2 linked regions of the Oryctolagus cuniculus genome follow. The protein of the gene in region 1 purifies or fractionates together with the protein of each later gene. This does not show direct contact. Links are inferred from orthologs where the notes say so. Each region holds a gene or a part of one and is shown in the gene's direction. Other genes may lie near its edges.

What was found.
Region 2: the proteins of CDAN1 (region 1) and ASF1B purify together in Homo sapiens (co-immunoprecipitation; 5 studies listed by BioGRID and IntAct, counting the BioPlex papers as one, with this or other methods). This does not show direct contact. The link is inferred for Oryctolagus cuniculus from reciprocal best matches to the Homo sapiens genes CDAN1 and ASF1B.

What each region holds. Positions count from the first base shown.
Region 1 is NC_091443.1:65,741,061-65,744,855, reverse strand, and holds part of CDAN1 (codanin-1), read left to right. Parts: intron 1-144; coding exon 145-254; intron 255-682; coding exon 683-772; intron 773-1,354; coding exon 1,355-1,430; intron 1,431-1,712; coding exon 1,713-1,918; intron 1,919-2,144; coding exon 2,145-2,265; intron 2,266-2,403; coding exon 2,404-2,550; intron 2,551-2,704; coding exon 2,705-2,871; intron 2,872-3,107; coding exon 3,108-3,195; intron 3,196-3,400; coding exon 3,401-3,490; intron 3,491-3,679; coding exon 3,680-3,734; intron 3,735-3,795. UniProt on the Homo sapiens protein: May act as a negative regulator of ASF1 in chromatin assembly.
Region 2 is NC_091447.1:62,994,140-62,998,630, reverse strand, and holds the start of ASF1B (histone chaperone ASF1B), read left to right. Parts: upstream 1-1,671; 5' UTR 1,672-1,784; coding exon 1,785-1,893; intron 1,894-4,491. UniProt on the Homo sapiens protein: Histone chaperone that facilitates histone deposition and histone exchange and removal during nucleosome assembly and disassembly. Cooperates with chromatin assembly factor 1 (CAF-1) to promote replication-dependent chromatin assembly.

The sequences.
Region 1 (3,795 bases):
CCTTGCGAGCTTCCATAAATTCAAGCAGCCCCTGCTCACAGTACTTAAGTGTCATGTGTGCTGACTGTGGGGGAGGTCAGGGGTGAAGTTTTCTGAGTGTGCCTCCTGTAGGCTTTAGATCCTAATGTTACCGCCATGTTTCAGGTGTCTCTGGTGATGCTACCCTCTGCTCAAGCTGTCTCCTTTCAGCCGGAAACTGACAATCGTGCCAACTTCTCCAGTGACCGAGCCTTTCATACTTTCAAAAAGCAGAGGTGATGGGAAAGGGGAACTCTGGGAGGGAGTAGGTGGCAGTCTCTCTGGAATAGGCAGTTGTTTTGTTGTCACAGAAACTGGGAGTTTGGCACTAACCAGTGGGTTGGTACCACCAGGCCCTTCCTCGCCATCCCAAGGGCCAGTTGACCTTATTCTGTTTTGTGCCCGTGGACTTGAATCCCTGAGCCTAGCAGGCCCTCTTAAGGGTCTTTAATCTCAGGGTTCCTGGGCAGGACTACCTCTCAGTGTGCACAGAGGGTGTGAGCCTGTGGTGTGCTGTGCTGGGTCTGTGACATTGTCATCCTATAAGGGACTTTGAGGTTAAGACATGGGACTGGGCAGAGTCCTGCCCTCAGTGTTCCACGTGAGAAGAGTGAGGTAGCAGCAGCCATGCCTCAGCTGATCAGGATTCTTGTGTGTCTGTCAGGGATGTGTTTTATGAGGTGCTTCGAGAATGGGAAGATCACCACGAGGAGCCCGGCTGGGACTTTGAGAAGGGCCTGGGTAGCAGGATCAGGTGGGTGCTCCGCCGCTGGTCACCGGGTCTTTCCTCTCCTGCCAGTGGGCGCTCCGTGACATGTGGGGAGATGATGGCAGGAGGCTTTGCGGTCCTCCCCACCTCCTCACCTCCAGCACCAACAGCCCTGCCTCCGCTCTGGAGGGGTGTGTCTCCCAGCTCCTTCTGCTTGTTTGCTAATGGCAGGCCCTCGGAAAAGAACAAAGCTTGTAATCCAAGTTGCTTGTTTTGACCCAAATCACTGGACAGACCCTCCAGCCTTTGTTTTCTGCGTCGTCTAGTTTGGGCCGCCCTGATGCTGGGTCTGGGTAGATGAGCAGGCGGCAGAGTGGGTTTCCTATCTGGAAGCTCACTGGTTCTTGGCGACCACTGCAGAGTTACTGGGGGCAGCGATGGCTTGCTGGGTTTGGTTTGTCTCTAGCCTCGCAGACCCTGGGTTCTGAGGGCAGTGCCCCTCTCCTTGCCCATACCCCTGGGCAGGCCCGCTGTGGCAGGTGAAGGCTGAAGAGCCCAGGGGCTGGCCTGTTCTCAGCAGTCTCCCCGCCTCCCTCTTGTACACTCTTCCTGACTCTTCCTCCCTAGAGCCATGATGGGCCAGCTCTCGGCAGCCTGCAGCCACAGCCACTTTGTTCGACTTTTCCAAAAACAGCTTCTCCAGGTAACAGCGCCTTGGCCCGCACCATCTCCCCACCCTTTTCCTTGGTGTGGTAGGAAGGGCCCAGGTTAAGAGGCCTGGTTTCACATCCCAGCTCTCGTAGCCCCTAGGCAAATCCTTTCAGCTTAGTTTGTTCCCTTACCTCTGAAACAAGAGTGTAAGCCCTCCCTCAATGCTGCCTCAGGCGCTGACAGAGTAGGCGTTCTGTAGATGTTCATCTCTCATTTTGTTCGGTCTGTCTCCCATGCACTGTTTTTGGTTTCGCTCCTCTCTCGCCCTGCCCAGATGTGTCAGAGCCCAGGTGGTGCTGGGGGCACTGTGTTGGGCGAAGCTCCAGATGTGCTCAGTATGCTGGGAGCTGACAAGCTGGGGCGGTTGCGGCGTCTACAGGAGCGACTTGTGGCCCCTCAGAGCAGTGGGGGGCCCTGCCCACCCCCCACCTTCCCGGGCTGTCAAGGCTTCTTCAGAGACTTCATCCTGAGCGCCAGCAGGTAGAGGTGCCCCACCTTTTGCAGGGCAGGAAGCAGAGATCCCTAGACTCTGCCCCTCCATTTCACTTCCCATTCTCTCCCTGGCGTGGGTGATCCCACTTCTCAGCCTCCCATCTCCCCCATTAATCCTTCCTGCCAGGGCACCTCTCAGTGCTGATCTGCCTGAACCTCTTCCACTGCCTTTTTATTTCTTCTTTTTTTCTTCTTGCTCTCCCCTCCCGTCCAGCTTCCAGTTTAATCAGCATCTTATGGATAGCCTGAGCTTGAAGATCAGAGAGCTCAACGGCCTCACCCTGCCTCCGCATGAGCCTAATGATGACGAAGGGGAGGCAGATGTCGACTGGCAGGTGAGGAAGCGGAACGCGGGCAGTGCGGGGTCTGGCCTCAAAGCAGAGGAGTGTGTTCCAAGGACGCTTGGTGACAGGCTTGGAATTGCTCTAGAAGCCTTGCGCGTAGGACCTGTTATTTCCCTTCATTCCATACAGGGTGAACGGAGACAGTTTGCTATGGTGCTGCTCAGCCTGAGGCTTTTGGCCAAATTCCTGGGCTTTGTGGCTTTCCTGCCATATCGCGGGCCTGAACCACCCCCAACCCGTGAGCTTCAGGACTCCATCCTGGCCCTCAGGAGCCAGGTGAATGGGCGGGAGATCCTGGCAGAGGGAGCCGGGAGGGCCAGTCGGCTCGGGCGCTGGCTGCTTTCCTGGGCTGTTCTGGAAACCAGGCGGCCTAGAAGGCACTGCCCGGCCCCGCCAGGTGCCCGCCCTCTGACCAGCCCTCCTCTCCCAGGTCCCACCGGTCCTGGATGTGCGGACCCTGCTGTGGCAGGGGCTGCGGGCCCGCCGGGCTGTGCTCACCGTGCCCTGGCTGGTGGAGTTCCTGTCCTTTGCTGACCACATCGTGCCCCTGCTGGACTACTACCGCAGCATCTTTAGTCTCCTGCTGCACCTGCACCGGTGAGTGGAGAAGGGCTGTGGCCCTTGACAGCCATCACCCGGAGGGACAGACAGTGGGCAGTCGTTTGCCCTTTCCTTTTTCCTCTGTGGCCCAGCAGAGAAGGAATCTGGGTGTTGGGGGGGAGGACGAGGAGAGCAAGGAGATGCCAGCTGCCCACACAGAAGCAGCCCCTCTTAGGTCTGCCGCTGGGGACATCCTCCAGTGAGACCGTTCACACCTTCCACTCGCCCCGCAGGAGCTTGGTCTTGGCGCAGGAGCGTGAAGGGGAGATGTGTTTCCTGAACAAGCTGCTGCTGCTCGCTGTCCTGGGCTGGCTTTTCCAGGTGAGCCGGGGGAGGAGGGGGAGGCTGGGAGTGCAGACCTCTGAGTTAGCGCGGCAGCGACCAGAAGATGCGAGTTGACAAGAGGGCCAGGGTGCGCCGTCGCTTCAGAGGAGGTTGCTCTGAACCGGCCGCCTAAAGCAGGCAGAGTGGAGGCTGCGCATCCCCGCGGTGCCGCCTGCAGCTCGGATGGCCTCCTCTCTGCCAGATTCCCACGGTCCCAGAGGACTTGTTCTTTTCGGAAGAGGATCAGTCAGATGGCTTCCAGGTGGACGCAGTGTCCTCAGAATATGGCTTGGTGAGTGTGGGGTCCAGCCAGAGTCCCGGGAAGTCCAAGAAGTAAAGAAAGTGGGCTGTCCAGGAGGACCCAGCCAGGACGGGCAGGATGGGCTTACCCTGTATCAGCTCCTCCTGACGGGCCGCTTCTGGGCCTGCTGGGGGGACAGGAAGCCCGCCTGCCTGCCTACACTGGCCTGTTCTCCCCCAGGACAGTGTGCCTGTGGTGGACCAGCAGCTGCTCTACACCTGCTGCCCCTACATTGGTGAGCGTCCCGCGCCCTCCCCCAGCACCCATGGTCCCGTCCCTGCCCGCAGACCCAAAAG
Region 2 (4,491 bases), on another chromosome or scaffold:
CCCAGCTTTAGACTCCGGCTGGAAAGGAGGCATTCCACACAGACCACAGAGCTCGCACAAAGCCTCAGGCCCTCAGCCTTCAGGGGGCGGGAAGACACCATCCGAGGGCCAGCCTTGGCCAGCCTTGCAAACAGGCCTGGTGTCAGGCCCGGGCTGCCAACATTTCTGTGAAATTGTACAACACAGCACACAATCCTGGATTTTTTTTTTAATATTTATTTATTTGGAAGTCAGAGTTACACAGAGAGAGGAGAGGCAGAGAGAGAGAGAGAGACAGAGAGAGAGAGGTCTTCCATCCGCTGGTTCACTCCCCAAATGGCTGCAACGCCTGGAAGTTGGGAGCTGGGAGCTTCCTCTGGGTCTCCCACGCGGGTGCAGGGGCCCAAGCACCTGGGCCATCTTCTCCTGCTTTCCCAGGCCACAGCAGGGAGCTGGATGGGAAGTGGGGCAGCCGGGACTCGAACCGGCGCCCATATAGGATGCCAGTGTTTCAGGTGGCGGCTTTACCCACTGCGCCACAGCGCCGGCCCCAGAGGGAGCACAAGGCCCTGCAGCAGGAGGGAGCCCGGGGGTGGGCAGGGGCAGGGCGGGGAGGGTGACAGGCGCGAGACGGGGCCTCGGGGCCCACTGCAGAGATCTCGGTTCCCCGCTAAGCAGGATACGCCTCTGGGGCTTGGCGCTGGGATCTGGGGTTCAGCGACAATCACGCAGCCAGCTCCTCTTCCTCCCAGCATCGGAGACGGAGTCCCCGGTACGGCCTTCCCCGGGGTCGGGAACGGACGGCGCAAAAAAAAAAAAAAAAAAAAAAAATTCACCAAGGTGAGAATAAATAAATGTTTAGTTAAACGCCTAGAAAACATCGTGCTAAGAACTCTGCTCGGGGTGGAATTCGGATGCACCATAACACATTTGGAAATACGATCGCCTAGGCCCTGGCCCCGCAGCCGTCCGGTCCCTGACTGGGCGGGAGCGGGACCCGAACCGCCACTCCCCAGGCCGGGACTCCGCGTCCGCTCACCGCAGACCCCCCAGGCCGCGCACGGCCTCAGCAGCCGGAGCCCCCGGCCCGAAACGCCCACCTGCACACACGCACCGGCATCCCCGCCGCGCCTCCTCCACCGCGCCGGCCCCCGACTTCCGCTCCTCTCCCGCGAATCCTCAGACACGCCTTCCTCTGCTCCCGCCCCCACAGCCACCTCAGCCAATTAGGTCTCCAAAAGCCTGCTTTATCCCCGCCCCACTCCTGCCTGCCAATCACGGCGGCCGCGAGTACCCGCCCTTCCCACGCTCTTAAGCGAGCGCCGCGCGCCACCGCTCGGCCGTTGGCGGTGCTGCTCCCTCAAGGATGCGTCTCTCGGAAAAGCTGCGAGAAGGGGCGGGCCCCGCCTGTGCGGGAACCCTCAGGATTGGCCGAGAGCCGGGCTCTGACTCCGCCCATCCCCGCCCCCGCCATCCGAGTCGGAGACGCTGGGGATTGGTTCCCCGCGGCCACCCCGCGAGAAGCCCACAGCTGGTCCCGCCTCCCTCGCGCGCGTGCGGAGAGGGAGCTCCGCGGATTGGTTTGAGGAGTCCGGGCGCGCGCCAGCGGCGCTCGCGGATTGGCTGACGGGGCGCTCGCGCCGCCGCGGAGCGTTTGCGGTGATTGGCTAGAGGGCGGAGCCGGCGATTTGAAGGCGGCGCGCGGACGCGGTGCGCGTTGCAGTCCGCGGCGAGAGGAGGCGGGAGCGGCCGCCGGTGACGCTGCCCCTCTGCCCGCTCCCCCGACCCCGGCTCCCGGCGACACGATGGCCAAGGTGTCCGTGCTGAACGTGTCGGTGCTGGAGAACCCGAGCCCTTTCCACAGCCCCTTCCGGTTCGAGATCAGCTTCGAGTGCAGTGAGGCCCTGGCGGACGGTGAGGCTGGACCCGTGCGGAGACCCCCACCCCAGCCCTGGGCCGACCCTGACCCCGACCTCCCCGTGGAGAGCCGCCCCGTGGCCAGGCCGAAGCCCCCCGGGGCCCCCTCCCTCCGTCCGCTTAGCCCCCCCCGCTCCCCCATCGCCCCCTCCCAAACCCCAGGACCCCCCTCTCTTGCAATGGCGCTCCTCCCAGGCACCGCTTCCTAATGATAGAGGCGCATCCACCGGCGGAGACCCCCACGCCCCCTGCCTCTTCCCCACCCCTGCCGCCCTCCTCGCCCCCGTGTCCGCCCCAGCCGTGCCCTGCCCAGTGTTTAAATGACCGCGTCCGGGGGTCATTGCGACCCCCGGGGTGGCGGTGGAGGGGCGTCCCGGCTCCCGAGGCTTCCCGGTCCGACCGTGGGCCTGGGTGGGCGGTGGGCGCGCCCCGGACCGGCTTCCCGCGGCTTCCCTATCCCGACGCCGTCCGGTGGGCGGTGGGCGCGCCCGGGGCCCGCGGCGGGGTGGTGGTCGTGGCGCACGGGAGGGCACAGCAGCCACCCGGAGCCCCGGGCCCTGCGCACGCCGGGGTCAGCCGGGGCCAAGGCCTGCGTGCACCCAGCGCTCAGCTCCAGGGCGGAGCCGGGGAGGCCGCTGGGTGGCAGGGGGGTGGCCCGCGGGGCGGCCGCCGCCTGTGGCTGACTGTGGAGTAAGCCGGCTGGAGGCTCTCTGGGACACGCAGGGCGGAAATAAAAGTGTAAGCTGGCGGGGGTTGAGACTCGCTTTAAAGGCCGGCAGGAGAGGCGAGGGGCCCCTCGTCTGAGTTCCCAGGTGACGCGGGTGGGGTGCCGTAGGCCTGCTTTAAAAGCAGGCGCTATCTGAGAAGTGGGTGCCTGCGACGCCCCGGGCCCTGCGGCCCAGGAGCCAAGCCCCCGCCTTGACCCCCTGCGCGTCCCGGGCGGGGGGCGGGGCGTCGCTGGGGCCGTGATGTCTGGGGACAGGAGCCTGGGCAACCCTGGTGTGGGGCGCCTCTGAGTTCCTTCTTCCTCTCCCAGCCCCCAGTCGGGGGCCCCCTGACTCCCAGGGGCCGCACGGAGTACATCAGGGGTGCGTGTGCTTGCGGGGAGCGGGGGAGCCCCTCAGGGAGCTGAAACAGCAGGCGCCCCGCGAGGCCAAGGCCACGGGCAGTACGGCTCGAAGACTGCGGCTCCGGACCGCCTGGTCACCGGATCGCAGCGCCGCTTCGGCTGGAGTCCTGGACGCGCAGCTTCCGACCCAGCTTCCTGCTGCTGCGCGCTGTTGTGCGCCCCTGCCGCCCACGCGGGAGACCCACGGGGAGTTCCAGGCGCCTGGCTGTGGCCTGGCCCACCTCCAGCTGTTGGCATTTGGGGAGTGGACCAGCGGGTAGAAGATCCTGCTCTTTCTGCCCCCCACCCCCCCATCGCCTGCCTTTGTCTCTCTCCTCTGTCACTCCCAGATAAATACAAATGGGAAACAGATTCTTCAACGACAATGATTTCTTGTTTAAATATTTGTTTCATTATTTATTTGAAAAGTAGAGTTACAGAGAGAGAGATAGGTCTTCTGTCCATTGGTTCACTCCCCAGATGGCTGCAACGGCTGGAGCTTCACAGATCCAAAGCCAGGAGCCAGGAGCTCCATCCAGGTCTCCCACTCAGGTGCCGGGGCCCAAGCACTTGGGCCATCTTCCACTGCTTTCCCAGGCCATAGCATAGAGCTGGATCGGAAGTGGAACAGCCGGGACTCGAACTTGCACCCATATGGGATGCCGGCACTGCAGACCCGGGCTTTAACCCACTGTGCCACAGCACCGGCCATCACTTTCTTAACGTGTGTTTAATCATAGCATTGGCTTTGCATTTGTTGTCATACGGAGTAGAGGTGTATCCTGTGCGGGGTTCAGCCTGTAAAATTGGGGATCAGAACAAAATGTAATTGACGTGCCTTTAATCGTGTTCAGAAGTTAGATAGACTGTGTGTATACAGTTATGTCCTGTATTTGGTAGGTATTTTTTTAAGAACTTATTTTATTTGAAAGGCAGAGCTACAGAGAGATCTTCCATCTGCTGGTTCACTCCCCAGATGACCACACGGCCAAGGTTGAGCCAGGCCAAAGCCAGGAGCTCCATCCAGGTCTCCCACGTGGGTGCAAGGGCCCAAACCCTTGGCCATCCGCTGCTGCTATCCCAGGTACATTAGCAGGGAGCCGGATCAGAAGTGGAGCAGCTGGAACTCAAACCAGTGCCCCTGTGGGATGCCAGTGGTGCAGGCAGTGCCTCAACCTGCTAGGCCACAGCACTGGCCCTTATGCGTTTTTATATTTTTTTTAATGGTTGATTTCTTCTACTTGAAAGGCACAGAGGCAGAGAGAAGGGAGTTCTTCCATCAGCATTTACTCAAAAGATAGAGTTACAGAGAGGGAGAGTGACAGAGAGAGATCTTCCATCTGCTGTTTCACTCCCCAAATGGCTGCAACGGCTGGAGCTGTGCTGATCTGAAACCAGGAGCCAGGAGCTTCTTCCTGGTCTCCCATGTGGGTGCAGGGGCCCAAGGACTTGGACCATCCTCCACTGCTTTCCCAGGCCACAGCAGA